7 linked regions of the Ovis aries genome follow. The protein of the gene in region 5 purifies or fractionates together with the protein of the main gene of each other region. This does not show direct contact. Links are inferred from orthologs where the notes say so. Each region holds a gene or a part of one and is shown on either strand. Other genes may lie near its edges.

Evidence for each region.
Region 1: the proteins of SIRT1 (region 5) and EP300 purify together in Homo sapiens (affinity purification with western blotting; 3 studies listed by BioGRID and IntAct, with this or other methods). This does not show direct contact. The link is inferred for Ovis aries from reciprocal best matches to the Homo sapiens genes SIRT1 and EP300.
Region 2: the proteins of SIRT1 (region 5) and BRINP1 purify together in Homo sapiens (affinity purification with western blotting; 6 studies listed by BioGRID and IntAct, with this or other methods). This does not show direct contact. The link is inferred for Ovis aries from reciprocal best matches to the Homo sapiens genes SIRT1 and BRINP1.
Region 3: the proteins of SIRT1 (region 5) and ECT2 purify together in Homo sapiens (affinity purification with mass spectrometry; 3 studies listed by BioGRID). This does not show direct contact. The link is inferred for Ovis aries from reciprocal best matches to the Homo sapiens genes SIRT1 and ECT2.
Region 4: the proteins of SIRT1 (region 5) and JUN purify together in Homo sapiens (affinity purification with mass spectrometry; 4 studies listed by BioGRID and IntAct, with this or other methods). This does not show direct contact. The link is inferred for Ovis aries from reciprocal best matches to the Homo sapiens genes SIRT1 and JUN.
Region 6: the proteins of SIRT1 (region 5) and TOPBP1 purify together in Homo sapiens (affinity purification with western blotting; 3 studies listed by BioGRID, with this or other methods). This does not show direct contact. The link is inferred for Ovis aries from reciprocal best matches to the Homo sapiens genes SIRT1 and TOPBP1.
Region 7: the proteins of SIRT1 (region 5) and ZEB1 purify together in Homo sapiens (affinity purification with western blotting; 4 studies listed by BioGRID, with this or other methods). This does not show direct contact. The link is inferred for Ovis aries from reciprocal best matches to the Homo sapiens genes SIRT1 and ZEB1.

Annotation. Positions count from the first base shown.
Region 1 is NC_056056.1:218,165,779-218,169,798, forward strand, and holds part of EP300 (histone acetyltransferase p300), read left to right. Parts: intron 1-735; coding exon 736-897; intron 898-3,278; coding exon 3,279-3,560; intron 3,561-3,812; coding exon 3,813-4,020. UniProt on the Homo sapiens protein: Functions as a histone acetyltransferase and regulates transcription via chromatin remodeling. Acetylates all four core histones in nucleosomes. Histone acetylation gives an epigenetic tag for transcriptional activation.
Region 2 is NC_056055.1:4,122,808-4,127,355, forward strand, and holds the start of BRINP1 (BMP/retinoic acid-inducible neural-specific protein 1), read left to right. Parts: upstream 1-1,293; 5' UTR 1,294-1,571; intron 1,572-4,548. UniProt on the Homo sapiens protein: Plays a role in neurogenesis and brain development. May suppress cell cycle progression in postmitotic neurons by inhibiting G1/S transition.
Region 3 is NC_056054.1:215,421,086-215,425,105, reverse strand, and holds part of ECT2 (protein ECT2), read left to right. Parts: intron 1-553; coding exon 554-632; intron 633-1,036; coding exon 1,037-1,156; intron 1,157-3,824; coding exon 3,825-3,963; intron 3,964-4,020. UniProt on the Homo sapiens protein: Guanine nucleotide exchange factor (GEF) that catalyzes the exchange of GDP for GTP. Promotes guanine nucleotide exchange on the Rho family members of small GTPases, like RHOA, RHOC, RAC1 and CDC42.
Region 4 is NC_056054.1:33,493,621-33,498,082, reverse strand, and holds JUN (transcription factor Jun), read left to right. Parts: upstream 1-1,419; 5' UTR 1,420-2,339; coding exon 2,340-3,347; 3' UTR 3,348-4,113; downstream 4,114-4,462. UniProt on the Homo sapiens protein: Transcription factor that recognizes and binds to the AP-1 consensus motif 5'-TGA[GC]TCA-3'.
Region 5 is NC_056078.1:23,651,195-23,655,214, forward strand, and holds part of SIRT1 (NAD-dependent protein deacetylase sirtuin-1), read left to right. Parts: intron 1-115; exon of another isoform or gene 116-207; coding exon of another isoform or gene 208-240; intron 241-737; coding exon 738-885; intron 886-1,776; coding exon 1,777-1,856; intron 1,857-2,973; coding exon 2,974-3,160; intron 3,161-4,020. UniProt on the Homo sapiens protein: NAD-dependent protein deacetylase that links transcriptional regulation directly to intracellular energetics and participates in the coordination of several separated cellular functions such as cell cycle, response to DNA damage, metabolism, apoptosis and autophagy.
Region 6 is NC_056054.1:256,420,947-256,424,966, forward strand, and holds part of TOPBP1 (DNA topoisomerase 2-binding protein 1), read left to right. Parts: intron 1-41; coding exon 42-215; intron 216-319; coding exon 320-429; intron 430-2,756; coding exon 2,757-2,880; intron 2,881-3,463; coding exon 3,464-3,610; intron 3,611-3,725; coding exon 3,726-3,828; intron 3,829-4,020. UniProt on the Homo sapiens protein: Scaffold protein that acts as a key protein-protein adapter in DNA replication and DNA repair. Composed of multiple BRCT domains, which specifically recognize and bind phosphorylated proteins, bringing proteins together into functional combinations.
Region 7 is NC_056066.1:33,350,442-33,355,255, reverse strand, and holds the start of ZEB1 (zinc finger E-box-binding homeobox 1), read left to right. Parts: upstream 1-1,598; 5' UTR 1,599-1,617; coding exon 1,618-1,675; intron 1,676-3,477; exon of another isoform or gene 3,478-3,794; coding exon of another isoform or gene 3,795-3,801; exon of another isoform or gene 3,802-4,103; coding exon of another isoform or gene 4,104-4,119; exon of another isoform or gene 4,120-4,814. UniProt on the Homo sapiens protein: Acts as a transcriptional repressor. Inhibits interleukin-2 (IL-2) gene expression. Enhances or represses the promoter activity of the ATP1A1 gene depending on the quantity of cDNA and on the cell type.

The sequences.
Region 1 (4,020 bases), on a different chromosome or scaffold from region 5:
TCTTTTTTTCTTCTTTAAACAACTGTTTAAGTGTAAAAACCATCATTCTTAGCCGTACAAAAAACAAATCTGGGCCAGAGTTTACCAGTCCCCCCTACAGAAGCTGCCTTATAGCAGGTCATCTGACAAGGTCAGATGACAAGGTTTCCTTGTCATTTATTTCCCTGCAGTATATGTCGGTTGCCCTTGCTGAGTCTGAACTACTGAAATCACCCTTAGTCTAAGAATTCTTTATAGCCTGCAGTTTAGACTCCTTGATTGAATGTTTTTCAAGGTGTTTTTTGTTTTTTTTAAATAGTCCATGAAATTTTGGAAAGTGAGTCGAAGGAAATAGAACCAGGGCCTTTGGCTCCCTACTCCCATGCACACTTCACTACCTGCTGCTCACTCCTCTCCATCCTCAGATTTGGTTTGGGCTGGCTCCACCTGAGGTGTCTCCTGGTCCGCAGCTTCCGCTGGCCAGAGACCTAAGGCTGCTGTTGTCTAATGAAGAGAGATCAGCAGAGAGATTTTTCAGTGGGAGAAAATTAATGCAAAAACATTAGTAAACCTTAGTTTACAGCTTTAAAAAGAAAGAGGAGCAATGAAGAGAGAGCAGCTGTTAGAAGGTTATGATCTATTGCTCCATCAGAAACTTGTTCTTAACAGTTACTAACAAATAACTGTTCTAAACTTGTAAACAGTCTCTTAGCAAAGAGTTACTAACATTTCTTGTTCTCTCATGCTAACCTGCAGGTGACAAAGGGTGACAGCAAAAACGCTAAAAAGAAAAACAACAAAAAAACTAGCAAAAACAAGAGCAGCCTGAGTCGGGGCAATAAGAAGAAGCCAGGCATGCCCAACGTATCCAACGACCTCTCACAGAAGTTGTATGCCACCATGGAGAAGCACAAAGAGGTAAGAGAACAGCCCCCAGAGTAGGAAAACCAAGGCCAGGGTCCTCCAGAACTGCCCACCATAGTTGGTATTTATGATGTGAGCACCAGATCATTTGAAACTCAGAAGGAAGAAAATCATACTGGAGAAGGAAATGGCAACCCCCTCCAGTACCTTTGCCTGGAAAATCCCATGGACGGAGGAGCCTGGTAGACTACAGTCCATGGGGTCGCAAAGAGTTGGACACGACTGAGCGACTTCACTTTCCCTTAGGAAAAAAAAAAAGAAAATCATTTGAGGGAGAAGAAAGCAAAAAGAGGGTAGTGAGAACATGAAATGGTAAGGTATCTTACTTAGATCTGTAGCTGTTACAAAGCTATATGGTGTTGGGAGAAGTGTAAGCAGTTTGTCTGACCCTATTGTTTGTAACCGTTTTATGTTTGTGTTTCTGTCCATTGTTCAGAAGATGGGCTTGTTGGATATCTTTTGGGTATCTTTGTGCTTTTGCTTTATACCAAAGCCCCTTAGAACTCTATTTGGCCATTCAAGTTTCTAATGGAACTTTGGCGAAACTAATGAATGTTTTGCCATACTGAAAGGGAATTGGCAAATGGAGAGGACTGAAGAAAAGTTAAACTTTGATATATGCATTCATGAATGCCTTCACAGCAAAGTTAAAACTTGGAATTATTTCATTATTGGATATTTGTTGTTTGGGAATAGAACTGAGTATGTTGGGGGTTTTTTCCCCTTCAACATTATTGTTGGTAAGATGAGGCCTTTTGAAGGGTCATGTTGGTTTGTTTAAACATCTGTTTATCTCCATGTTCAGACATCAGGTTCTTACAGGAAGAGGCTATTAATGTGGAGAGGGAACTGATGGTTTGATTTTAGGTGTGGAACTCTGTCATAACAGCGATTAGGAAAGGCCCTTAGAGTATGTTGTAATAGGTATGACTTCAGTTGTAGATACATCATCTGAAGAATATGTGGGTAGTAGTCTCCTGTTAGGAGTTAGAATCTAATGTAATCATTTTATTAAATTTAGGTATTGTTTTAGCTCTAGGGTGACATTCAGCAGTCAGTCACGATGGCTGTTATTAGAGGTTGGCCATAGGGAGTCACCAGGTGGTTTGATCTGCCCCCACTTGTTAGATACAGTACTTCCCTGTGTGTGATCACATTTTCAGGACACTCCTCCTCACTCTGTGAGTGCTTGCTTTGAGCCACAGTAGCAAACCCAGTATCACAGTCCCCCCTTGAGCTTTTAACTCTGGCTTTGAATGTCTTTACTCAGTGTGGATGCTCTTGTCCTGTGTTGTTCGTGGCGTGTGCAATCTTAGTCCCATGTCCCGTCTCCCACCCCCACCCGGGGCCGAACCCATGCCCTTGCAGTGGCAGAGCAGTGTTAACCACTGGACCACCAAGAAAGTCACTGTGTTCTTTTTCTAGACTCTTGTACTATGCCAACATTGCTGCCCAGATATATAACAAATATTATTGCCAGTTTGCATAGATTTTCAGCCTCAAAAAAATGGACAGGTTATAGTGGGCAATACAGCAGTTACAAGTTCTTGATCTCTTGAAGGTTCCCTTTTACATTTTATTATTACAGAAATAGCAGCTTCCTCTTGCAGCCTTTAAACCAGTGGTTATGGGAATCAGTGGTTGTGTTGTGTTTTTAAACAAAAATTTTTTGTTTCTGTAGCAAGGAAAAAGATTTTGCTTTTTTATTCTTCCCACCCCTACCAATTTTTTTTCCTTCCAAACTTACAGGAAAGTACAGAAGATGCCCTCCTGTTGCTTTCAGCTAGATTCATCAGTTAACGTTCTACTACATTTTATTTCAGTAAGCTCCTTCTAAGACAGAGGACACGCTCTGCATAAGCGTGCTGTGACTTCACACTCAGGAAACCTCTCCCCTGTCACCACCTCCCATCTGCTCCTCTGCTGCATGTTGAGTTGCCATGTCTCAGTTCCTGGCTTTATTTTCTTTAATGACATAGGCATTTTGTGAAGACTCCAGGCCAATTGCTTTGTAGAATATCTATCCGTTTGGGTTTTTCTGATTTATTTCCTTATAATTAGAGTCAGGTTAAACCATGGATTGCATCTTAAAAGTTGACCTCTTTGAAGTAGAATGTCCCCTGTATGGCCCTGTGTTTGACCATTCTTCTTTTGAAGAATTACTGAATGAGATAAGATGCAGATGTTTTAGGCCCACTGTAGTCAGTTTCAAAAAAGAGAACAAATGCATGAAGCAGGAGAACGCGGGCTGTGTCGTGGAGCCTTGCAGGGTGGCCACAGAAGGAAGCCAGGCCTCCCGGCCCCCGGGTGCAGAGCCTGGCCAGCTGCCTGCAGTGCTCAGTTCCAGAGTCCAGAGGGGACTGTCTGTGTTGCAGGTCTTCTTTGTGATCCGTCTCATCGCTGGCCCTGCCGCCAACTCCCTGCCTCCCATTGTTGACCCCGACCCCCTCATCCCCTGTGACCTGATGGATGGGCGGGATGCCTTTCTCACCCTCGCAAGGGACAAGCACCTGGAGTTCTCATCACTGCGAAGAGCCCAGTGGTCCACCATGTGCATGCTGGTGGAGCTGCACACCCAGAGCCAGGACCGCTTTGTCTACACCTGCAACGAGTGCAAGCACCACGTGGAGACTCGCTGGCATTGCACCGTGTGTGAGGTGGGTCCCTTGGCGGGGAGGGCTGGGGGATTCCAGGTACCTGAGAGGCAGTTCAGAGGTGGTGCTGGCCTGAGGGCAGCCTCCGGGGCCAGTGTGAGGACCAGAAGAGGCCAGGTGGGGCCTGGTGTCAGATTTGAATGGTTGGGCTAAAGAAGCTTTCTCTAAAATGGGGCTTTTCAGCCCAAGCAGGATATGTAAGTGCTTTTGAATGGCTTGAATCTTGGAGTGTTGACCTGCTCCTGTTTTCCCCAGGATTATGACTTGTGTATCACCTGCTACAACACTAAAAACCACGACCACAAGATGGAGAAGCTCGGGCTGGGGCTTGATGACGAGAGCAACAACCAGCAGGCCGCCGCCACGCAGAGCCCCGGAGACTCCCGCCGCCTGAGCATCCAGCGCTGCATCCAGTCGCTGGTGCACGCCTGCCAGTGCCGCAACGCCAACTGCTCGCTGCCGT
Region 2 (4,548 bases), on a different chromosome or scaffold from region 5:
ATGCTTTGAGCACTCAGGATGTGCCAGAGAGTAGTCCAAATTTTCTTAGATGTATTAACTCATTTAAGTATTCCACCAACCATGTTAGTAGGTAGTTATATTTTCCTGTTATACAGTTGAGGAATTAAGACTTAAGAGGTAAGTGATTTGGCCAAGATCACATAGCTGTAGGATTCTGACTTGTCTAGAGCCAGCACTTTTACTGAATCTGGTTTCCTTTAAATTTCTTGTCAATTTTTTGTTATTGTTCCCTGCCCCTTCATCTGGTACCTTCATCGATGCCGACCCTTGCCTCGGCTTCCAGGGACTTCAGGAGCCCTCACTGCTGATTTGGGTTAAATTTTTAAAAAGGAAGCAAAGTAAGCAAGCACACAGAATATCCACTGTGTGAGAATTCAGATTGTGTTCTGGCCTTCGTCTCTACTTAAGGAAGAGGCCCCCGTGTCAGCAGCCCCAGCCGGCATCTCAGACTAAATGGGGAGTCTTTGGTTCTGTGTACCAATGCCTTCGCCTCCGTATCCTCGCCCCTTTCCTCTCTCTCTGGTATGGAGAGAACTTTGCGTCTCCTCAGCGTCTCTCTCCTACGTCCTGCCCACGTAGAGAAGCCCTCGCTTAATTCTGGGAGGTTACACGGGCCCGTGCCTACACATACAGAAAAACAAACAGCCTTAAGTACTCACAGAGAGGCACTAGATACAAACGGACCCGCACGGGCACCTCCCCAGACAAAACCACACTCGGATAGTTACGCACCGACACACAAGCACCCGCATACCCAGAAACACTCGGATGCTCGCGACGCGCACAGCTCCAGACACGCTGAAGAGCATCACGACGCGGGGGTCTGCGCATACACGCCACATGCAGTCCCTCCGGGTGCTCAGACTCGGAGGCGCGCCACCCTCGCCCCGGACCCACGCGACTCCCCGGCGGCTCTGGCTTCAGCCCACCCAGGCCGCCCCTCCCTCCGCGGGGGAGGCCTCCCTTCCTCCGTCCTCTCTCCGCTCCTCCTCCTCCGCCTAAAGATGCACGAAACACTCCTCGGAATAAACCCCGGCTCCTGGCTCCGCCCCGCCCGCCCCCCGGCAGCCGCTCCCCCATTCATTTTCGCCCGTCGCCGTAAGTCCCGCCCCCCGCGTAGCCCGGCCCCCGCTGCTCCCCGCCCGGAGACCGCGGCGCACTTGGACTTCCCTCTCCATTCGCTAGCCGCCTCGCGCCCGGGCCCCACGGCTGCGAACTGATCTGGCGCGGGGAGGGAGGGAGGAGGCACGCGCAGGCGAGCGAGCGGGCGAGAGAGGGAGCGAGCGAGCGAGCCACCGCCGGGGAGCCGGGAGGCAGAGGCAGTAGTGACCGCCTTCCGGAGCCGGGGTTCATGCCTGTCCTCGGGACCAGCGAAGGGGTCTTGACGGCTGAGTATGAGCCGGGCTGCTAGGAGCCAGGTACCCCCGCGCCTGCAGTCCCCGCGCCGTTCCCGGTATGCGAGCTGGACGCAGGGCTCTCCCAAGTTCCCTCCGAGCCGAATAAAAAGCGTCCGCCCGCAGCTCTCCGCCAAAGACGGACATTGACTCCAGGTAAGGCAGCGCCGGGCGCCGCGCCGGCAGCCCCGCTGCCCTTGGAGACCGCCCGGGACCGCATGCGGGGCGCCCCCGCCCGCCCGGCCCCTCCCCCTCCCTGCACCCTTCCGCGCTGCCCTCGGCCGCCCCGCCGCCTGCAAGTCCTCGCAGGTCCCCAGGAGGGAGGGGTGTCTCCGTATTCTGGGGCGCAGAGGGTTAAATGCGGGTCTCAGTAAGTGGCGTGTGTGTTCCTAGCGCGCTCCCGACGTGTGTACCATGGTGAGAACTTGATATGGTGCTAGTGTGTGTTTGCGTGTGCGGCGTCGTTTGCGTTCGATGCGTGTGTTTGTGATGTGTGTTTGTGTGTGTGTGTGTGTGTGTGTGTAGGGGAGGGGTGAAAAGAGGTCCTATAACCTACTTAAGGCCCGATGTGTGTGTGTGCATGTTTGTACGTGTGTGTTTGTATGTGCGCTCTTGTCTCTTTTTAATTAGGTCTCTCCGGCGCACAGGGAATCGGATCCTTGTTTTAGGATCACGTAGCCATCGGGAAACCCGCTGTGGACTCCCTCTGGGGCTCTGGGCTTGGGATTTGGCGAGGATTCTGGGAACCGGGATGGTACCTTATTCAGCCCAGTGCTGGCACCCTTGAAGGAAGATTTCTCCAAAGGATGGAGATCTGCTGCACTTGGACTCACGGTTTAATATGAAAGAGAAATGGCCAAACTGAGGCAATGAGACGCTGTCACTTTAAATCCCACACTGGGCAGATTCCAGGATTCTGGTGGGAATTTGGAGTCACTGGGTAGTGGGTGACGGAAGGAGAGAAGTCATCTGTGGGCTCATCTGGGGCTTGGCAAGTCCGGGTAGAGTCTACCCTGCCTCTCTCTGCTTGTAATCATAACAGCATTACAACCCCTCCTGCTTCTGGTGCTCTGGGGAGGATCTGGGCAAGTTTGCATGGATCCCCCTCAAGGGAGAGGAGAAAGGGCCCTCAGGGACTTGCTCATCCATCATAGCTACAGAGAATCACAGAGGAAATCTCATTTGGGGGCAGCTCTGGGAAACATGGTAGGAGATGGATGGGGCACTTTCCTAAGACAGATCCCTCATTCCCTTCCCCAGTCCAGGCCTGGGCAGTCCCAAGAGAATCTTTTCCTATACTGTGCCTCCGCATGGCTCTCCTGGGCTTAGGAGGGTACTGGGAGAAGGCAGAGAGGCAGTGTGTGTGTGTGTGTGTGTGTGTGTGTGTGTGTGTGTGTGTGTGTGTGTGTTCGCGCGTGCGCGCATCTGTGTGTGTCTGTGTTTCAGTACTGAGGGAGACCTACAATTTGGGAACTGGTTGTGGGTGGGGAACTTATGGTGGAATGTGGCGGTAATTGACTTAAAACTGCTGCTGATGTGCACCTCGCATCTCTTGCTCGGCTCCAACAAACTGCCAAGGGCACACGGGGGTGGGAAGAATCTCAGTAACGAAGACAGTCCCTCTTTCCTCTTTCCTCCGCCTCCTAGGAGGCGGCCCCGCTAAGTCCCTTGGCCTCCCTGGCCAGGTCCTGTTAGGCTTGGACTCCGGGGCCAGCCATTGATTTGATTCCCGGATGCCTCTTAAAGGCTTGCCCTACTCAGCAAAAAATGCTGAGTTTCACGGCTGTTAGCATGGCTTCCAGACTCCGGCAGCTGTTACTTTCCCAAGGTAAGAGGCAGCATTCAGCTCTTAGGCAGTGAGGCTCCAGAGGGCAAGCGCTGAGGTACTGGGCCTCAGCAGGAAGGGGCCCCTGTATAGGCCTTCTAGGGGGGAATGTAGAAATATACTTGTCTTAAATACTTGCACGTATTTATTTCTCTTCCGGGGAGAGATAAAAGCAAACGTGTTTGCAGGAACCTGCCCTGGCGGGTGGGGGGCGGTGCTACCTGCAGGCACTCACAGACACTCTCTTCTCTGGTCAGAGGCTGATGTCTCAGGCGGAAGCCTTCACACGGCCACAAGGAATCTGCTTTGGGAACCTTAGGTCAGAGCAGAGGTCCCCGGTTCACTTTGCCTGGGGTGTGTGAAGGCAAAAGATTCCCCATGTTAGGAATTGCTCTCATCTTATTTTTTTAAAAATACGTAGACAGTCAAAGCTGGAAGGAATATTAAGGAGCAGACAGCAGGAGTCTGTAGCCAGAGAGGACGTGAGAACTCCCCAACCGTCTCTAGTGAGTTGGTGGGATGCCCAGGTCTAGAGCCTGTGGTGCCTGACACCCAGGTCCATGTCTTTTCCTCTCATATCGCTCTCCACCCCTGCCCTGCCACCGCGCTCCCATCCAAGATAATCACTCGTCTTCCCTCATCAAACTTCTCCTTTCAGAGATGCATTTCAGAGCTGTTCCATCTGGAAACATGACCTGGAGAGAAAAGGTCCAATGCTTTAATCACAGTCCCCATTAGACAGACAGATAGACACACACACACACACACACACACACATGCAGAGAACATACATTCTTTCTCCAGTGCCTTCAGAGGCGCTTCAGGGACCGGTACTGACCGTGCCTAGTAGACAGAAGCCAGCAGGCATCTGGACTGTACCTGAGCTCTTTATTAAGAAATGCTTTGCTTTCCAGAGAGCCAAGTGTCCACCCATCTAGCAATGCAAATACTTCAGGCAAATTCGTTTCTTTACATTAATGAGACTTACCTCTATACAGTCATATGTATGGCCGTCATAGGAGCACACACATACATGTCGTCACCTAGACACGTGCAGATTCAGAAATCCTTTCTACTTGCTATATTTCCCAGAAGACAATTGCAACCTCCACACCAAATTGCATTCCCCTATGTGAAAGCATCACCCCCACGAAGACTGGGACTTATAGTCCCAGGGAAGGGGAAGTGTAAAGTCCTGTGAAAGATGTGCTCTTAAGAAGTCAGGATCAGGCCCACACAAAAGTGAGCTCCCGGACTCCTTGGTGCTTGGGTTCAGGGTGCAGGTGAGCATGGAGGGAGAAAACAGGG
Region 3 (4,020 bases), on a different chromosome or scaffold from region 5:
TATTCATGTCTTTGGTGTAAAATGTATCTTTTGTAGATGAGATATAATTAGGCTTGCATTGTTTGAGACAGTGACTTGAAAAACCTCTTTCTTTATACTTTGCTGGGTTTTTTTTTTAGTTATTTCGGGCAAAGTATGTATTTTTCCTCTTATTCCATCTTGTCTGGAAGCAATAGTCTTAATTTTTATTTCAGTGAAATGATTAGCATATAATTTGGGAATGATTTGCATAAAACCTTACCTGAACTTAAAACTTCTGAACTTGCAGTTTATACCAGTGTAATGTATTTTAGGAAGTGTATGATGAATATAGTTTAAAGTGAGAGAGAGAGAATATAGTAAGGAGTATAAAGCAAAACTTACTTTTCTGAAGGATTCTATGAAGAAATTTTTAATGTAGTGGGATACTTTTAGGGAATATATTAACTGATATGGTTATCAAAATTAAGACATATTCACATGGAGGGATTTTTGTGTGTGTGTGTGACACAAGATGTGTATATATACAGTTTTTATGGTCTGTTGTTTTAAAAATAACTTTATTAATTTTCAGCCATATTAATGAGGATAAGAGAAAAACAGAAGCTCAAAAGCAAATTTTCGATGTTGTTTATGAGGTCGATGGATGTCCAGTAAGTATTCATTTTTGATGATTGTCGACTTATTCTTTTTGTTCTTTTTGTTTTTGTTATAGTTGACCCTTGAACTACTGGGAGTTAAGGGCACCAACCCCCTGGCCAGAGTAAAAGAAAATCTGCATATAACTTGATAGTTGGCACTCTGTTTCTGTGCTTGTGTATTCATGGATTCAACCAATCATGGGTCATGTAATACTGTAGTACTTATTTACTAAAAACGAAAACCTGTGTAAGTAGACTAGTGCAGCTCAAACCTGTGTTGTTCAGGGTCAGCTGTATTTAGATTCTGCCAGTTATAATATAAACAGAATCTTGGCACAACTTTCTTTTTAATTATAACTTTAAAAAAGTATTTACCATGAAGTAATCTCTTTTATTAATATTTTCAATCTATTCAGGCTAATCTTTTATCTTCTCACCGAAGCTTAGTTCAGCGAGTTGAAACAATTTCTCTAGGTGAGCTCCCCTGTGACAGAGGAGAACAAGTAACTCTCTTCCTCTTCAATGACTGCCTAGAGGTAAAGTTGTCCTTAATACAGTGTAATAACACTGCTGTTTGACTTCATTGAATCTTTAAAACTAAGCTTTGATTGAAACAATAAGTTTTAATTAAATTAATTGATTAAAGAAGTTTAAAGTAAAGTTTAATCACTTTTTTGATGAGACCAATTGTTGATTTAATGCTATTAATTGAATGCTTTTAGGAGAGGACCTAACATTAAGAAATATGATATTTTTTCATAACTTCAAATCCATGTCAAAATGAAAATTTAGTTTATTTCCTTGCAAATAAATGCCTAGATTAAGAATTTTAGGAACTTCTTGTATATATGTATATTCCTTCAAGATTTACAAAATAATTATGACTTCTTTTTAAAATTAAGTACATTTTCCCAGCAGAGAAATCTGTATTTTGTTGAAGATGGACATAACTTGATTATTTAATATAATGAATTACAATCCCCTGCTGATGAAACTATAGCCCACCGGGCTCCCCGTCTATAGAATTCTCCAGGCAAGAATACTGGAGTGGGTAGCCATCCTGTTCTCCAGGGAATCTTCCCAACCCAGGGATGGAACCCAGGTCTTTATCCTCTTGAATCTTTGGAGAGTTGTGGCTTGCTTTAAATTTTTTTATTTTACTTCCCCTTCAGTTTTTGTGATGTCTTCTACAACTGGCTCATTGACTTACCTTGCACTCTAATTCGTGCCATTGGTCATTCCTTGTAGCCTCCAAGTCTGTTATCTCATAGCTTGGCCTCTTACTTCCTTCATCTTTCCTGAATTCACTGACTTTTTTTCTACTCTCTCTTAGTCTCCATGTCAAAATCACATTAACTATAACAGTTCTATTTCTAACATTCAATTTGGAGCCCAAATTTTGGACCTTTAGATTTATAAGCTCTTATTCTTTAGCTTGTTTTTTTTTTTTTTTAACACCAAAACTCAGAGCAAATTTGGAATGAAGAGAATGGTAAATGTTAGAAACATTTAAAATGAATAACATCTGAACTGACATCACTTAGATATGACAGGTGATGTATCTGTATTTTGAGTTCTTACCTTGATGGACTAGCATTTGTTTCATCAGTATTAATACTTGTCATTGTTTTTCCTTTTTAAAAATGAGCCTTAAAATTATTTATTTTACTTAGCTAAATTAAAAGTACATTCAAATATTACAGTGGAAGTTAAAGAATTACTTTTTTTTGCCACATTAATATAAATGGGTTTTTAATATTTGGTATGTATCATAGATCTGTGTCATATTTCTGCATCAATGTGAATGTGATACTGACTGCCTTTTGATCTTTTCTCATTAACCAACACAGATTTCAGCCTTACTTTGTCATATTCATCATGATGAATATGACCAATCAATCTCAATTCATTAAGCAACTTAATCTAAATTATTTTGTGTTAGTGTCTTTTAGTAAATAAGCTCAAATGGTCAAGAATCCACATGCAATGCAAGAGACCTAGGTTTGATCCCTGGGTTGGGAAGATTCCCTGGAGAAGGGAAAGGCTACCCACTCCAGTATTCTGGCCTGGAGAATTCCATGGACTTTTTATAGTCCAAGGGGTCACAGAGTCAGACATGACTGAGTGACTTTCACTTTCATAAGCCCGAAAGAGATGTTCTTTTAAAAAGACAAAATAATATACTATGATTTCATAGAAATGAAAAATTTAAAGACCTTATAAAATTCTCAGAATTTATATACATCATAAGTCACAGGATCCTTTCTGATTTTGCTCCTGTCTTCTCCAGCAATACTTTATCTGTCTCTCCTTTTGGTGAGTTCCCAGTTTAATTAAAGTTATATCAGCACATTGACTTTATAATTTGCATCAGTTTGTAATGTATTGTTACTTTGATTTTCATATTTCTCAATAGTATGTAAGTGTCATGAGACCCAGAACCATTTCTATATTATTTGCTCCTTTATCCTCAGTTCCTTGCATGGGATCTAAGATAACTGTGAATTCTGTTTTTAAACTGAAGTCAGTTATTTTTTTGAACCCAAGGAAGTGATCCCAGAGCAACTATTCCCCTTTCCGAATTCAAGGCCATTTATTGAAGATTCCTTCATCCTTTGATCCCATTATTTCTCACAACAATTCTTCTAAGTTCTTTCACACCTCTGTAATCTTTTCCATAGATCCTGTTTTCCTGACTTTTGAGCTCTTTTCATATTAATGTGAACATTTCTGTTACATAGTTACATGTATGAATTGGTCACATAGTAACTATGCTGCTGCTGCTGCTCCTCCTAAGTCACTTGAGTCGTGTTCAACTCTGTGCAACCCCAGAGACGGCAGCCCACCAGGCTCCCCCATCCCTGGGATTCTCCAGTTAAGAATACTGGAGTGGGTTGCCATGTCCTTCTCCAATGCATGAAAGTGAAAAGTGAAAGTGAAGTCGCCCAGTTGTGTCCAGCTCTTAGCAACCCCATGGACTGCAGCCCACCAGGCTCCTCCGTCCATGGGATTTTCCAGGCAAGAGTACTGGAGTGGGGTGCCATTGCCTTCTCTGAGTAACTGTGCTACTTACAGATAATTTTAGAATGACTGATACTTAATGAGCTGCATATTGATTTATGTGACTACTGCCATTTTATTTTTAAGCATTTGGTCTTTGTTTTTGTTACTGACATCAACTTTTTTTTCCCCCCCAATAATCAGATAGCAAGAAAACGACACAAGGTTATTGGTACTTTTAGGAGTCCTCCAGGCCATACCCGACCCCCAGCTTCTCTTAAGCATATTCATCTAATGCCTCTTTCTCAGATTAAGAAGGTGCTAGACATACGAGAGACAGAAGGTATGGTCATTGGATAAACTATTGGCTAAATAAAAATAGTGAATATTCATTGAAGGT
Region 4 (4,462 bases), on a different chromosome or scaffold from region 5:
TTGCAGATGAAGAAACTCAGGGAAGTTCTCTGATTCGCTCCCTTCACATTGCGGCAGCGTTGGCCAGGAGAGAACCCACGACTCCAGACTTCGGTATTCTTTCCACCGTACACTTTCGTCCCTAAGGGGCGCGGGGTTGGGGGAGGAGAAGAATAACCACCACTGAAAAGGAACCACTTACATGGGTCTAGCGCTTCCTAGAGGCTACACAGGATATGGGCCCACCCCCCAGCCGGGAGCGGAGAAATTTTAAATCTTTATTCTACTCACTCGCTGCGTGACTTTTGGCAAGTGTCTGCTGCTCTCGGACTTGTTTTCCCGGAAGCAAATCGGGGCGGGAGGAGTGGCGTGTGCGTGTGTGTGTGTTTGTGTGTACATGTGATGTGCGGTGTGTCTATGCATGTTGTGCGGGGGCGGAGAGTAGACTATCACCGGGGTTCCCCGAGTTTCGGATTCTCCAAACGCTCGTTCAAACTAGACGCCGAGTTGCCCCTTAAATCCACCTCCTGTAAGAAACCTTTCCGAGGCAAAGATGCGAACCCCCGCACCCTTTCTCCCACGGTCGGGAGGGTGAGGTGGGAGTGCGGAGGGGACTTAGCCGAACACCCAGTTTCAAGCAATGCAAATCACTGGACTTCCAGACAGAGCCAGACAGTCGCTACTGAACTTGACCAGGAGACAAACTTCAGGGCATTCTCAACGTGGGGGGCCGACTCTCACGAACTGCCCCCAAATTTAAAAGCCACTTTCACTCGCCCCCACAGGGGACTTAACAGAGCCACCTTAAGGGCGGTGCTCCCGCCCCCCGGAAGTGCGGGGGGGCCAGGAACCCAGGCGCTCAACGGGCCCGGCCCGCCCCGAGCGGCGGCGAAGTGCCCGCGGGTGACATCGAACCCCCAAGTGGGGAAATACCACCCGCCCCGCGCCCTCGGCCCCAGACACCTGGCTCGGTTCCCCTGGCCTCCTGGGTCCTAGCATCCCTGGCATTCCCATCCGAGCCCTAAACTTCAGCCCACTTCCCTCAGAGGCTGGGAGCGCCGGAGTCCGCCCGGCTCGCGGCAGCCACCGTCACTAGACAGTCAAACCCCAAGACGTCAGCCCACAATGCACCGGGCGGGCCGGGAAAGACGCGTCGGGGAGGGAGGGGGAAGAGAGGGGCGCGAGTCGCGCGGAGCGGGTTGGGGGGAGGAGGAGAAAGAAGGGCCCAACTGTAGGAGGGCAACGGAGCATTACCTCATCCCGTGAGCCTCCGCGGGCCCAGAGAAGAATCTTCTAGGGTGGGGTCTCCATGGCGACGGGTGGGCCCGCCCCCCTGAGAGCGACGCGAGCCAATGGGAAGGCCTTGGGGTGACATCATGGGCTATTTTTAGGGGTTGACTGGTAGCAGATAAGTGTTGCGCTCCGGCTGGATAAGGGCTCAGAGTTGCACTGAGTGTGGCTGAAGCTGCGAGGCGGGAGTGGAGGTGCGCGGACGCAGGCAGGCAGACAGGCACAGTCAGTCGAGAAGGACAGCAAATCCTATTTTCCAATTTCTCTCCAACTGCCCGGAGCTAGCGCTTGTGGCTCCCGGCCTGGTGTTTTGGGGAGCGCCGGGAGAGCCCCTTCGCCAGCCGCCCCCAGGCGGAGAGCCCCGCTGCGCGGGCGCTGCTGACAGCGCGGAGAGCGGCCACTGTCCGCCCGGGGAAGTCCGGAGAGCGGCTGCAGCGGCAAGAACTTTCCCGGCCAGGAAGACAGGAGACAAGTGGCCGCCGGGTCCCGGAACGAACTTTTGCAAATCTTGCCTCCGCCCGAAGCTGCCGCGGCGGCGGTGAAGAAAAAGAGGCGGCGGAGAGAGGAGGACGTGCGCTCCGCTTCGCTCGCACCGGTTGCTGAACTTGGGCGAGCGCGAGCCGCGGCTGCCGGGCGCCCCCTCCCCCTCTCAGCGGAGGAGGGGACAGTCTTCCGAGTCGGGGCGGCGGACACCCGCCGCCGGCAGGCAAACGCGGGGTCCGCGCTCCCTGCTATCACCGGGAAGCGAGTTCGTCCGCGGGCTCTGAGGAACCGCTGCGCTCGAGAGAGCTCCGTGAGTGACCGCGACTTTTCAAAGCCGGGCGGCGCGCGCGAGCGGACAAGTAAGAGCGCGGGCGGCGTCTTAACCCTGCGATCCCCCGGACCGAGCTGGTGAGGAGGGCGCCGGGGGCGGGGGCTGCCAGCCGGCGGGGGCGCGCGCTCTTCCAGAAACTTTCCTTGCTCACTGCCCGGGGAGGCGCGGGTGTCCCCCGCTTGCCAGCGCGCTGTTGCGGCCCCGAAACTTCTGCGCGCAGCTTAAACTAAGCCCACGCGAAGTGACGGACTGTTCTATGACTGCAAAGATGGAAACGACCTTCTACGACGATGCCCTCAACGCCTCGTTCCTCCAGTCTGAGAGCGGCGCCTACGGCTACAGTAACCCCAAGATTCTGAAGCAGAGCATGACCCTGAATCTGGCCGACCCGGTGGGCAGCCTGAAGCCGCACCTCCGGGCCAAGAACTCCGACCTCCTCACCTCGCCCGACGTTGGGCTGCTCAAGCTGGCGTCGCCCGAGCTGGAGCGCCTGATCATACAGTCCAGCAACGGGCATATCACCACCACGCCGACCCCCACCCAGTTCCTGTGCCCCAAGAACGTGACGGACGAGCAGGAGGGATTCGCCGAGGGCTTCGTGCGCGCCCTGGCCGAACTGCACAGCCAGAACACGCTGCCCAGCGTCACGTCGGCGGCGCAGCCGGTCAGCGGGGCGGGCCTGGTGGCCCCGGCGGTGGCCTCGGTGGCGGGCGGCAGCGGCAGCGGCGGCTTCAGCGCCAGCCTGCACAGCGAGCCGCCGGTCTACGCCAACCTCAGCAACTTCAACCCCGGCGCGCTGAGCAGCGGCGGCGGGGCGCCCTCCTACGGCGCGGCTGGCCTGGCCTTTCCCGCGCAGCCCCAGCAGCAGCAGCAGCAACCACCGCAGCCGCCGCACCACCTGCCCCAGCAGATACCCGTGCAGCACCCGCGGCTGCAGGCCCTGAAGGAAGAGCCGCAGACGGTGCCCGAGATGCCCGGGGAAACGCCGCCCCTGTCCCCCATCGACATGGAGTCCCAGGAGCGGATCAAGGCGGAGAGGAAGCGCATGAGGAACCGCATCGCTGCTTCCAAGTGCCGGAAAAGGAAGCTGGAGAGGATCGCGCGGCTGGAGGAAAAAGTGAAAACCTTGAAAGCGCAGAACTCGGAGCTGGCGTCCACCGCCAATATGCTCAGGGAACAGGTGGCCCAGCTTAAACAAAAAGTCATGAACCACGTTAACAGCGGGTGCCAACTCATGCTAACGCAGCAGTTGCAAACGTTTTGAGGCGAGACTGTCGGGGGCTGAGGGGCAACGGAGAAAAAATATAAATAACACAGAGAGACAGATTTGAGAACTTGACAAGTTGCGAGAGAGAAACAGAGAAAAAAACAAAAGTGTCCGAGGACTAAAGCCAAGGGTATCCAAGTTGGACTGGGTTGCGTCCTGACGGCGCCCCCAGTGTGCACGAGTGGGAAGGACTTGGCGCGCCCTCCCTTGGCGAGGAGCCAGGGAACGGCCGCTCGCGGGCTGCCCGGGTTTGCGGACGGGCTGTCCCCGCGCAAACAGAACGTTAGACTTTTCTTTAACGTTGACCAAGAACTGCATGGACCTAACATTCGATCTCATTCAGTATTAAAGGGGTGGGGTGGGGGAGGGGGTTGCAAACTGCAATAGAGACTGTAGATCGCTTCTGTAGTACTCCTTAAGAACACAAAGGGGGTGGGGGAGGGGAGGCGGGAGGGAGGTTTGTGAGAGCGAGGCCCAGCCTGCAGATGAGCTCTTTCTGGCCTGCCTTCCATAACTGTGTATGTACATATATATATTTTTTAATTTGATGAAAGCTGATTACTGTCAATAAACAGCTTCATGCCTTTGTAAGTTATTCATGTTTGTTTGTTTGGGTGTCCTGCCCAGCCTTGTTTGTAAATAAGAGATTTGGAGCACTCTGAGTTTACCATTTGTAATAAAGTATATAATTTTTTTTATGTTTTGTTTCTGAAAATTCCAGAAAGGATATTTAAGAAAATACAATAAAATATTGAAAAAGTTACCCCTCCCCCAACCTCTTTTCTGCATTATCTATAGATTACTTGTCTAGGTGGAGTTGAAAGAGTTGAGTGTCAATTAAAATCACTGTGGGTGCTTCTTACTAGCAGGCCCTGAAAACTGTTGTCTGCTTGACTTGAGAAAGAACTGCAGCTGATGCTGTCATCAAGTTAATACTTTTCCCTCCCCAGCAATCTACATAGAGTTGCTTACCAAGGATAGTGTGCCATTTCAGGAAGATGAGCGAAGGGAGGTTGTGGTGGAGATGGACAGCCCACTGGGAAATCTAACATTTTAGTTTGGATTATATCAAGTGGCATGTGCTGTGACCATTTATAATGTTAGTAGAAATT
Region 5 (4,020 bases):
TAGTCACTTACTAAATGAAATTTAATAAAAACAGTCAAAAGTTGAGAGGACCAAAATTGATACTTTTTTTCTGATCTTTTTGCCATGTGTATATCTGAATTCTTTGTTTTTAAAGAAGAAACAGCATTGAAGCATTATTTGGGGGGAAAAACACACACACAAAATCCAGCAACTCAGCATTCATGAGCAGCTCTATACTATACCAGTATGTGCCTGTGCAGTGGAAGGAAAACAGTTTTGGTAAGGAATTAAACCTTTAGCTTTCAACTTCCAACAGGTTGATATTTATAATGAATGGTGAATCAAAAACTTTAAATATTATGTTGACAGTGCCTTTTTTAGTTTTAAAAAAGAAGTCACCATATCTCTAGTATTTTTTATTTCAATATAAACTTTTCCCTTTTCCTTTACAAAAAAAAAAATCTGAATTTGCAGCCAACAAAAATTAGACCTATATTAAGGTATGTATTTCTTCTGACTTTTATTGAAATAGCATCATTCATAAGAGATGTTTGCAGGTCGATTTTATCCTTTTTGAGAGGCTGTGTTTATTAATTGCTGAGTTTTATTTGTATTATAGCAACAATCCTTTTGTGTGTGTTGCATCCATCTAGATGCTTTAAGATTGTCATGTATTATTTTCTAATTATCATTGGTAGTTTTTTTGTTGTTGTTAAACCTAAACCTGTGACATTTGTTAACACTTAAATGTTTGTTCTGCTTTTTGCATTATCTAGGAAATATATCCTGGACAATTCCAACCATCTCTTTGTCACAAATTCATAGCCTTGTCCGATAAGGAAGGAAAACTACTTCGCAACTATACTCAGAACATAGATACACTGGAGCAGGTTGCAGGAATCCAAAAGATAATTCAGTGCCATGGTTAGTAAACTTCAGAATTGCTTTTCCCATTATATTAGTTTTGTAGGAAAAATTAGGATTAGTAAGTAGGCTGCCATTTAGGAATGGAGATTAAGCCTTATTATTTAATCATGTTACCTGATCAGGTGTAGATAAGGAAAGTAGACTGCAAAAATACAAAACCTGAAATACTGGCCTCAGCTCTTAATTGTATCCAATGTCAGATGTTAATTTGGATTTCAAAAGATGTAGCAGTTGTGTACACTTAAGTTTCAAATACTGTGCTTCGTCATGTGTGACCCTTTGCAACCCCGTGGATTGTAGCCCACCAGGCTCCTCTGTCCATGGGATTTTTCAGGCAAGAATACTGGAGTGGGTTGTCATCTCCTCCTCCAGAGGATCTTCCTAACCTAGAGATCAGACCCACATTTCCTGCATTGCAGGTGGATTCTTGACCCACTGAGCCATGAGGGAAGCCTGTTACATTCTTTTAAATAATGTTTTTTTTATTACAAAAGTGGTATTAGCTATGGATGAAAAAAACATGGCATCCTGAGGCAATCAAAGGAACTGCTGATTAGGTCAGATGTACAGAATTCAGAAATTTGAAGACTTTAAAACAAGTTTGAATAGACTTTTATTGTATCTAAACTGTTTCTGAAACAAAACTGTTAAGCTAATATAATCGTAACCTTCCAAATCTGCAGTTGTAGTCCTGGAGGAGTTAGTATTATCTTATTAAAAGAGTAGCTTTAGGAAGGGTCATTATATCAATACCTTTTTTGTGGAACCTCTTAAAATTTCCAAAGTCTCCTTTGGAGACTAGCTTTTCTAGTATCAGATTTAATTATAACTTATTTAAGAAATAGAAAAATTTCTTTAATAAAGCGTGTATTTGTTGGTTGTTTTTAGGTTCCTTTGCAACAGCATCTTGCCTGATTTGTAAATATAAAGTTGACTGTGAAGCTGTACGAGGAGATATTTTTAATCAGGTAATTTATCACCCGTATCTTAGGATTTGTGCTTGTCTCTGATCTGTTTCTTTTGCCTCAATCCTTTTTTTTGCCCCCTGAAAGTATTTATGTGGTACAGAAACATCCATGACTATGGGGGATTACAGCGAAGTACCCAAAAACCTTTCATTACCTGAAGTTGAAAACTGCGCTCTTTTTTAAAAAGTATTTATTTGACTGCGCTGGGTCTTAGTTGTGGATCTTTGTGCAGGATCTTTGTTGCAGCATGTGGGATTTAGTTCCCTGGACAGAGGCGGAACCTGGGCCCCTGCGGTGGAAGGGCAGAGTCTTAGCCACTGGACCATCAAAGAAGTCCCCATAATCTCTTTTGAATGATGAAATTGGCTTCCTAAACATTACAAAATATTTCATGTATGCTTATTGCCAAAAAAATTTTAAGATGGCAGAGCATAAAAACTATCCAGAAATAAAACTCAATGTGCATAGCTGTATATAAAATCATATAATTATGAGAAGATAGCATATTAGAATGGAATTGTATTTTACAAACTTCCTACTTTTTAAAGTTTGATTTTGGCTGCGTGCAGACGTCCTCTAGTTGCAGCGAGTGGGGCTGCTTTTTGTTGTGGCGTGCAGGCTCTTCACTGTGGTAGGTTCTCTTCTTTCTTCTTGGGCGGCTCTGTGTGGCAGGTGCAGTAGTTGTGGTGCGTGTGCTTAGGTGCCCCACAGCATGTGATCTTCCTGGACCAGGAATCAAACCCACGTCCTCTGCATTGGCAGGTGGATTCTTTACCACCTGACGTCCAGGCAGTCCCAAACTTTTAAAGGTTAAGACTCATGTACATGTATACACATGTTGCTTTTTCCTCTTAATTCTCTTTAATGTCAAATGTGGGTCTATACAGATATTAGCAGCAGATAATAGCACAATTATATTTCATTGTATGTTAGTGAAATAAGTGGGGGTGTCATTTATAGTTGATGTTTAGGTTTTATCCAGTTTTCTCTATTTATCCAGTTTTTCTGTTTTCTTTGATAAATTTGAAATGATTTCTTGCTAAGTGTGGAAATGTTGACAGTTCTAACTGGGACTTGCATTCTCTTTCCCTCCTCAACCAAAATCTGGAACACATAGGTGGTTCCTCGATGTCCTAGATGCCCAGCTGATGAACCGCTTGCTATCATGAAACCAGAGATTGTCTTTTTTGGTGAAAATTTACCAGAACAGTTTCATAGAGCCATGAAGTATGACAAAGATGAAGTTGATCTTCTCATTGTTATCGGATCTTCCCTGAAAGTAAGACCAGTAGCACTAATTCCAAGTAAGTTGGTAATGATTTTTAGAGAACCATTTCTATATATTTTTCCATGGGTTGTGGGTATGTAGAGCATACTCCAGTGATCTGTTTTTCATTAAGAGTAGTAAAGAGCCAAACTTTGGTTTTTAAAGGTGACATATTCTTGTTCATGAAGATTGATTAATCTGAAATTTCAATGGGAATAGAGGGTTTTCAAAACAGAATAACAAAGGGAAACAGTTCAACGGAACTTTTCAGTGGGATGTGTTTTTAATGCGGTAGGCGTTAGCATCAGCTAATTTACATATACATGGGAAACATTAAAAATCTATTTTAATCTTAATTTGAGCCTGTTGCTAATGTTTCACATTCTAGTAAGTTCAGATGAATAGCTTGATATTGTGTAAGTACTCATGTAAGAGAATTTTGGGACTCAAAATGATTGTTTTAGTAAGAATAACAATCATAAGCATTATATGTAGATCAGCTCTAACAAAAAGGGTGTGCATGTGTATAAAAATGCTTGAATACAACTGAATTTCCTATTATTCTCAAGAATATTTCTTTAACCCATGCCCCGATACTACATTTTTTTCTCCCTCTAGTGAGCAAGTAAGGGGGAGGAAGATAGAGGGGCTAATTCAGTTGCATCACTTGTGCCATAAAAGTGAGGGAAGGGGCAGAGAAGAGAATATCAAACCCTTAACGAGAGAATTAGACCCTCACACCAGCCAATAGGCAGCTAAACTGCTGCTTTAATAGAAACTATTCAAGAAGATTATAGGATAATTTGTAACTAAAAAGAAAATGTCTAAGCTTAGTTTTTTTCTGTTTAAACATAGAGCAGAGAACTTCTGACAAGCTTTCTGTGGGGTAGTATAACA
Region 6 (4,020 bases), on a different chromosome or scaffold from region 5:
TTCCTCACTTCCTTCCTCCCTCTCCTCCTCCATATACACAGGATGCACTTGCAGCCTTGGAAACTCCAGGAGGTCCCAGCCAGCAGAAAAGGAAACTGAGTACACCACTCTCAGAAGTCATCGTCAAAAACCTGAAAGTTGCTTTGGCAAATAGCTCTCGAAATGCTGTTGCTCTTTCTGCCAGCCCTCAACTGAAGGATGCCCAGTCAGAAAAGGTGGAATTATATCTCTTATTAATATTAAAAGGAAGTTTTAGATTAAAAAAAGAAACATTTAAAATAATAATAATTGATCTGTTTCTTTTATTTTCCATGGGCAGGAAGACGCTCCAAAGCCACTTCAGAAGGTAGTGGTGTGTGTTAGTAAGAAACTCAGTAAGAAGCAGAGTGAACTAAACGGGATTGCAGCCTCTCTAGGTGCAGACTACAGGTAGTTGGCACATCTTTTTTTTGGTGGTGATATGAACTCAATTTATAGGGAAACCTAGAACTGTTGTGAGCATCTGTTTTTTTTTAAAAAGCATTATTTTGCCTTTTATTAATAGTTTATCATAGTATCTACAAAATCCAGTTTTTATTTAATTTACCTCCTCCTTTTAAAATACCCTGTCCCATATCAATTCGCTCTTACATGTGTGTTTTTAGGGCATATTTAACAAATATATGAGAACATACTTTGTGACACTATTCTAAAAATTTGGGATCCATGAATGAGTACAGTCTAGAAAAAAAAAAATCCTTGTCTTCAAGGAGTTTATTAATACATTTAGGTCGGAGATTTTAAGCATGTTTCTTAGTGACTTTCAAATTAAAGCCCTTCTGTGAGTGCTACTAAGTGCTGCAGCACTCCTGAATTAAAATGGTCTTTTGGAGGATGTTTAATGCCTATCTTTTTTACTTTGGAGGCATAGATAACCACTCTCAACCTGACAGCCAGCTAGAGACAGGTCCCTAGCACAAATGGCATCAGTATCAGGGATTGAGAGACCCTTGCCTCTTCCGGCCAGTGCTAAGTTATCATATTCCTTCATTGTCTGCGGTACTCGCTTTCTTGACCACTTGTTTTCAGCACTTCATAGTTAGCATAATGATTGGTTTACAGTTAACAAACAGTTTGAGGGATATGATTAGCTTTATCTTTCCCTTTTGGTAAGTCATTTCAGTTATCTTTCTTTTTGATAGAGAAATTAAAGCAGGAGAATGGAAAAATAAAATATATTTGTGTAATTATAGGCACCTTAGTGTTTCATTCACCTATTGTAGAAGAGTAAAGCTTTCTTACTTACTGTTACTTGTATTGTCTATGTATTGTTCTTACCTGGTTGCTGAGTGCTCAATATGAGGCAAGTATTATCTCATACCATTCTCACAGTAGCCCTAAGAGCCCTAAAAATAGAATGCGTCCGTGGGTATTCTGTTTAAATGTGGACTTATGTAAGATTTAAAAGACACATATAGGACTTGTGTTTTTATAAGATTTAAAATGCCAGTCCTGGGAATTCCTGGTGGGTCCAGAGGTTAGGATTCTGCACTTCCACTGCTGGGGGCCCAGGTTCTATCCCTGGTCAGGGAACTAAGATCCCACAAGCCACACCAGACAACCAAAATAAATAAATGCCCCCGTCTTCTCAATATATTAAAAAAAATACATTGCTGAAATCCCTAAACAGAATTTAATAGTCAATGGCATTAATTTGGAATTTGCATTAGGTGTATTCCTGAAGTGAATTTCTGAGACTTGATAATTAAGGAGAGGAAAGAACTCTTATTATGCAGAGGTTACAGTATGTGTGTGTTCATAGGGTAATCGGCTCTCAAGTGCTGATGTTCCAGATGTTCCCTTCCATACGCACCAAAGAGATCAGTGCTACTGTCTCCCACCTGCGGAAAGTTAAAATCTAGACCAGCTCTTCCTGGCACGTCAGATATAGCACTCCCTTTTTATTACAGATACTTATACAACATTCCTTCTACTAAAATGGATTTCATAAATCTTTTATAATTTAAACTCAGTGGAAGGTGCGTAGTAATAGAATATACATTAAATATGTAAATACCTTTGTCTGATAACACAGAGGGGAATGGAGTATTTTTGCATACATACATTTTTGCATAGGCTGAAATAGATATGGAGACTCAGATACCATAAACAGCATTTCTGTTGGTAATATGACTACCACGAGTTATTCACATTTAGCAAACTAGGTTAAGGAAATATAAAATGGGAAGAAATCGGGAACACAGTGTAATAGCTAAGAGTGTGCTTTTTGAAGTCAAAATTGGCTCTACCTCTTATTCACTGAGTGTGTTACTTTAGTCACATCCTTCAGTGTTCTTATCTGTTAAATGGATAAAATAATACGGTATTTTAGAATTGTTGTGAGGAATGGATCAATAATGCTTTGTAGAGTACACAATATTATGGGGCACAGAGCAAATGTACAGTGACTAGTGGCTGCCAGCTGCTGGAGGATAGGTTGGATACTTAACTTGAAAATATCTTTATCATTATATCACCTGTATGAAGTGTTATTATAGAAGATAATTTAAAGAATATGTTTCTGCATCTCTCTCTGCATTTATATATTAAAAGATATGCATATAAAATTTAACAGTGAAAGTGGAGTCTGTCATTTAGTGTTTTTGCTTACTCTGGTTCCTGAAAGGTTTTGCATATTCTGTTTATAGAGAGTAATGATAAACTAATGTAGTTATCTTTCTCAGGTATTCAGGATCTTGTGGGTTTGATTGTTGTAGGTGGAGTTTTGATGAGACAGTGACTCATTTCATCTATCAAGGGCGACCAAATGACACTAATCGGGAGTATAAATCTGTAAAAGAAAGAGGAGTACACATTGTTTCAGAGCACTGGCTTTTAGAAGTAAGCATACTTTTTTCCCCTCCCCTTTCTGTTAAATGAAAACATAAACAGTACTTCAAGGCACAAATCCATTTCTCTGTACATAAACAAGTTTGGTAACCTTATTTAATTGCACATTTCCTTTCTTTGGCATCAGAAACTTAAGGTCTTTAATCCTTAAATGCTTAGTAAATCTTTAACGGGTATTCTTTCAGATTGTCTGATTCTTCTTGCTAGTTAAAAATGATATGAAAGAAAACTTTGTAATGCTTTGAGGAGAATTAATTTAGCATGCCAATACAGTTTCTTTTCTTTCTTCTTCTTCCATTTTCCTTCTGGGTATTCCCCGAAATGTGATTAATACTTTGGCAAAAGCATAGAAATAGAATTAGATTTTATACTTTAGTGGGCAGGACATTTAAAAGTGAGGACAAATTGTTACTTGTATGATGGAATTTTAAAGTCAACTGCTTTTCAAAACTTTAATTTTGTGAACTTTTGCCATCTTATAACATAATGTTTGGGCTGTCTTTTTCCTACTTAACATCTTTAAGTCACTAAAATTTTTTTTAGTCCTGTTTTAAAGCACACCATTGCATTACAGTGTGCCCAGGAGTATAAACATCTTCCTGAATCTCTTTATCCGCATACTTATAATCCCAAAATGAGCTTGGACATCAGTACAGTGCAAGATGGCCGACTCTGTAATAACCGACTATCCTCAGCTGGCTCTCCAATGAGGGATGATGAGGTAAACGATATGGATGATACATTTACCCCCTCTTTAAGCTGAATGTACAGTCATATATTGCTGTGAAGCCTTATACAGGGCTTGATTTGAGAAACTAATTTTTCTCCTTTAATAGCCAGATCATATGCCTGTAGAAGAAAATGATATAGACAATATGACCACCAGTAATAAAGAACTAACAACATCAAATGGAAATGGAAGGAATGACTCTAAAGGAGGTAAAATATTTTAAATTACAAACAAAATTTATAAATGTGTATCTTTCATACTGAATGCTTCCTTTGCATCAGATGAACAAATAAAGTTGTCTTCTATATTACTAAATAGAAGTAAAGCATATATTAATATTTGAGGATTGAATTGAGGTTCCATGCCAGTCATTAATTAATAGTTAGCAAAGCTTTGAGTGA
Region 7 (4,814 bases), on a different chromosome or scaffold from region 5:
CAGTCCCCTTTCATGCACCAATAAATAACACATCCACTTATCAAAATGCCAAAGCAAACGTGGGAGAGAAAATTTTCATCTATATTCAGGATTAAACTTTCTAATTTTAAATTACTAGACTTCAGCTGTAAATTTATTTCAGATGAAAGGTTTGGAGAGATTATTAATGAATCTTCCAAAAGCCTGGACGGTGTTCAAAAAATTAACATAATAAAAAAGTCCTGCCGTCGGCATGGCAAAAATCATAGGCATAAATTTGTTGAGGACCTACTTTGACAGCACTGTGGTAGGTTAACTGTGACTTCTAATACTTTGTGACGTTTCAGTCTTCTCAACTTCTTTATCATCTCTTACAATGTTCATTTATAACTCTTTATTATTCGAAACGCAGCTCAGCTGTATTCCCTCAAGTTGGTCCCAAAGATATTTCCTCGTTTGAAGACGGGGAGGAGGGGAGAGCAAAGTCTCTACTGAATACTCAAGACGTGACCTTCTTGGTATTTGTGCTGGTATCTACGTGGTCTTTCAGAAATCCCTGAACTTGTACACAGTTCGAGATAAGATCGCCATCCATCACCTGCCAAGACCACACCTGCCAGCCCTCGTTTCACGCCATAAGTTTCTGCACAGCGACCGCTGCTCTCCCAGATACTAAATTGTGGCCTGTTAACACCTTAACTCTTAAGTCTGGGGGCCTCGGATCTGGCCGATGTACTTGGGGGCGGGGGGCCGCAGGGCGGACGTGGCCGCAGGGAGGAGGGCGCGGCCTGGGGGCGGGGGCGGCCGAGGTGACAGCAGGTGAGCGCCCATCGCGCAGAAGGAAGTGAGACAGGCCGGCGTGGGGATTACTCATTCCGCTTCACCGCCGAGGTGGCTCGCAAGCGGAACTTCTCGCCCCTCTTTCGGTCCAGCTGAACTTCTACCTCGTTGAAGTCACTTCCCACCCCCGGTTTGCTCGGGGGCGGGGGGAGGGAACCGTGCGTCCGAGGAGGGGCAGGGAGTCTCGGGGCGCCGCGTGTCCCGAACCAGCCGCCCGCCAGACCCGCCTGCCCGCCCCTCGATTGCGAGGCATCCCCGGGCGGCCGGGGTTGCGTGAACCGCCACCCCCTCCACCCCGCCCCCCGTAAGGCCGAAGGAAGACAGGTCGATCCCGCCACTCCGGGGGCGGCTCCGAGGGCACGGGATAACGGCGAGAATCAGCTAGACCCGAACGTGCCCCTGGCGGCCGCAGCGGGTGTGGCCAGTTCAGGGCTCCTATTTTACCTTTCTCGGCTCCGACGGCCAGTCGCCCTTCGGACCACGTCCACATGGTTCCCCCGCGCCCCCACCCCGCCACCCCCGCCCGCGACACCTGGAGGAAACTTTTTCCTCGCCCCTCCATGCAAACTCAGCTGCTCCCCCGTCTGCCGCAAACCGTCCTCTCCCTAGCAACAAGGTTCCGGCCGTAGAGCGAGTGGCTCTAGGTGTAAGGAAGGTGATGTCGTAAAGCCGCGAGTGTCGTAAACCAGGTGCGGTGGGGAGGGGGGAGGGGTGGAGGCGGAGGGGCGGGGGGGGGGAAAGGGGGAGGGAGGGAGGGGGAGGAGGTGACTCGAGCATTTAGACACAAGCGAGAGGATCATGGCGGATGGCCCCAGGTGTAAGCGCAGAAAGCAGGCGAACCCGCGGCGCAATAACGGTGAGTGGCGGAGGGGACCGGGGAGCGGCGGAGTCAGGGGGAGCCGGGCGGCCGGTGCGCCCCCGAGGGCGAGGGGGGCGAGCTGGGCTGGGGGCGGCCGGGCAGGGACGGGCCAAGTGGAGTGGGAAAGTAGAAAGTAGTGCTCTCTGCCCCCCTCCGGGCCGCCGCCGCCGGAGCCGCGCCGCGGCCGCCCGCTCTCCCTGAACCGTTATGTCTCTTACCTGGTCTCTCCGCCTAGCGGCTCCCGCCGCCCCTGCCGCCTCGCTGGACCGTTAGCCGCCGCTGCCGCCGCCGCATCCCCGGCGCGGGCGGGCGGGCGGCCGGGACGCGGCGCCCACTTTTCTGGGCTCGGGGGGGAGCGGCTGTTGCTTCTTTCCGCACTTTTTCCCCACTCTTGTGCCCCCTCGGCGCCCCCCTCCCCGCCTCCTCGGCTTCCTCGGCGGTTCGTCCCCGCGGCGCCGAGGCCCCGGAGCCGAGGAACTAACTTGTGCCCGGCGCTTGCCCGTGCAGAGTGGCTTCCGCGCGCCGCGGCCCCGCCGGCGCGGTGGCTCGGGCCCCGCGGCTTGGCCAGGCGGGCGGGCCGGGCTGCGGGCGCGCGGCGGCGGGACGCGGCGGCCGCGGGCTGCGTGTCGTCCGTGCGCGCGTGTGCGCGGAGCGCGCGGCGGGCGGACGGGCCAGGCCGGTGGCGGTAAAGTTGGGAGCGGCCGGCGAGGCGCGCTCGGCGCGGGACGGGGCTTCACGGTCCTCGGGGTGGGGTGCCGGTCCCTTAAGCGCCCCGAGCGCGGTCCGCGTCCCGCGGGGAGCCGGCGGGCGGGGCGGGCGCGGAGCCGCGGCCGTGGGAGCCGTGGGGTGTGTAGGGGGGGCGGCGGCGGCGGCGGGTTGGCAGAGTTGTTACCTGGTCTCGGGACCGGGAGGAACCGCAGACAGGTCCCCCCGCCCGGGAGGACGCCTCCTCTGCGCGGGGATGGGCTGCCGAGCGTGCGCCTCCCTTGTTCTCTTTCGGTTTGGGGAAGTTGTTACCTGGGCCGGACGCGCGGGGCGTGAAACCGGCGGAGGGAGCTTGGACGGCGCTCGGGGTCTCGGGTGGAAGGAGTGTGGGGGAGGGGGGCGGCCGGACCGACGGACGCGGGTCGCCGCTGCCCGCCCGGCGGCGGCGGCGGCCGCCGGGTTTACTAATGAGTGCTGATGCTGCGCGGGGAGGGGCGCGCGCACACACACACACCCCCCATCTGCCTGGCGTGAGAGTTTAGAAAAATAACAATAATAACCGGAGAGCGAGCGAGCGAGCCCCGAACATGTGTTGGGTTGCACAGTCGCCCTTTGCGGTGGGGAGAGACGGTGGAAGTTGGTTGCATTTCTGCTATCTGGGGGGCGATGCTGCGCCCGCCCGCCCGCCCGCTCCGCGGCGACCGTCTGCTGGTGGGTATTGTCTGGACAGTTCCTGCGGCGACAGGGCCGAGGCCGGAGCGCGGCCCCCGCCCGCCCGGTACCTGTTTGGAGAATAATGGGCGGCTACGGCCCTGCCGCTGGCTGCGGCCGAGTCTATATAAGGAATTGCACGGATCTAGCGGACCGAGGGGCTCGTATGGGTTCCTGCGTTATTTTTAAAACGAGTTTCTGAGAGTAGGGAAATAAATGCGCCTGGAACGGGATCTCCGTATCCTCCAGAAAATGAGGAAATACGGGTTTAAGTCAAAACTCTCCGGCGCTCGCCCCACCCCCAGGCCCGGGCTCCCTTTCTCCCTCCCCTGCGGGATGCGAAACGCGAGGTTTTGTAACCTTTCCTGGCAATTTTAGATTTTGTGTGGGATTTCCTGTCTAGAAGCAGATACGGAGGTTTTTAGGCGGTTTCAAGATGTAAACGTAATTTTAATTTATTCTAGCCGACATTGAAACCGCCGCTTTCGTGAACGGTCTTAGTTATCCAAATACACATTTGCATTTTAAAGACGTCTGATAAGTGATGATCGATAACTAATATTTGGCGTCCTCGTTGTGGAGAGATGACTTGTTACGGCCAGGAGCGGAGCACAGGCTATTGCAATTTTAATTTCCTGTTTTAGCGTCAAACAGTGTGTGTGCTATATTGAGCTGTTGCTGCTGTTGCTGATGTGGCTTTATGAAAGGTAAGTTGGTCTGGAAAGGGCTGTTCGCGTTTTACCTTATTTAAAATGTTCATCGCCAGAGAAAGGGGCTTTTCTTGTTGCTGACGACATGTGTGTGACATGTGAGTCTGAACCACCCAGCGTCTGTGCAGCTGCTGTAAACATGTTTACCTGAGCAGGAAAGGATGGATTTTTCTTCTAAAGATCCTGGGATGTGACTATTACACCCATCAGGCATATCAACAGATGACTTAAGGGGAAAAAGCGATCCTGAAAGGTACTTGAAATCAACAGGAAAGAGAGCTGTTGGATCGCTGCAGCAAATGGCAACTTGTGCAGGTAGAAAAAAGATGGGGTTTAGTTTTCCTCCTGCATGTATGTCAGCCCGCTCCTGTCTGCTGCTTTCATTCTCAAGGGAGGGATTTATTTACCGTGCCTGCTGTCAGTGTTTTTCCTTTGTGTTTAATATTAGAAAAACAGATTTGGGGATGTTTAGCACAAAACGTCTTGTCTGCAGTGAGGATTACTCTCAGAAAACAAAAGGTGTTTCAGATAGCAGTGTGCTACTACAGGTATCTTCCATTTTCATCACTTTTGGCTCCGTCCTTGTATTTCTTTTTGTTCTCAGATTCATTTCATCCATTGCTGATTATTACAGCCACGCTATTTGATTAAGCCTCCTGATTTGCAAATTAAAAATGAAGTTACACGCCATTGTGTTGTGAAACCTCAGGATAGGTGCTGGTTAGGATTTCTTAGCAACGCAATCATATGTAAGTTGCAGTTGTTACTGGAGAGAATCGCTTGGAAAAAATGTTAACTCTTAAATCTTTTTAATGAAGGAATAAATGATGTGATGTATACAGTGGGAGATAGTCATGGAGGTACTTTATGCTGTAATTTATATGTAAATAATTTTTTGTTCATTTTGAAATAAGGCATGCAGATTTTCTCCTCAGCCTCCAGTAAAATATTTTAATTTCTTCTCTGGAATATATCTGCAGAGTAGGATACTAATGGGAGTATCAAGTAAT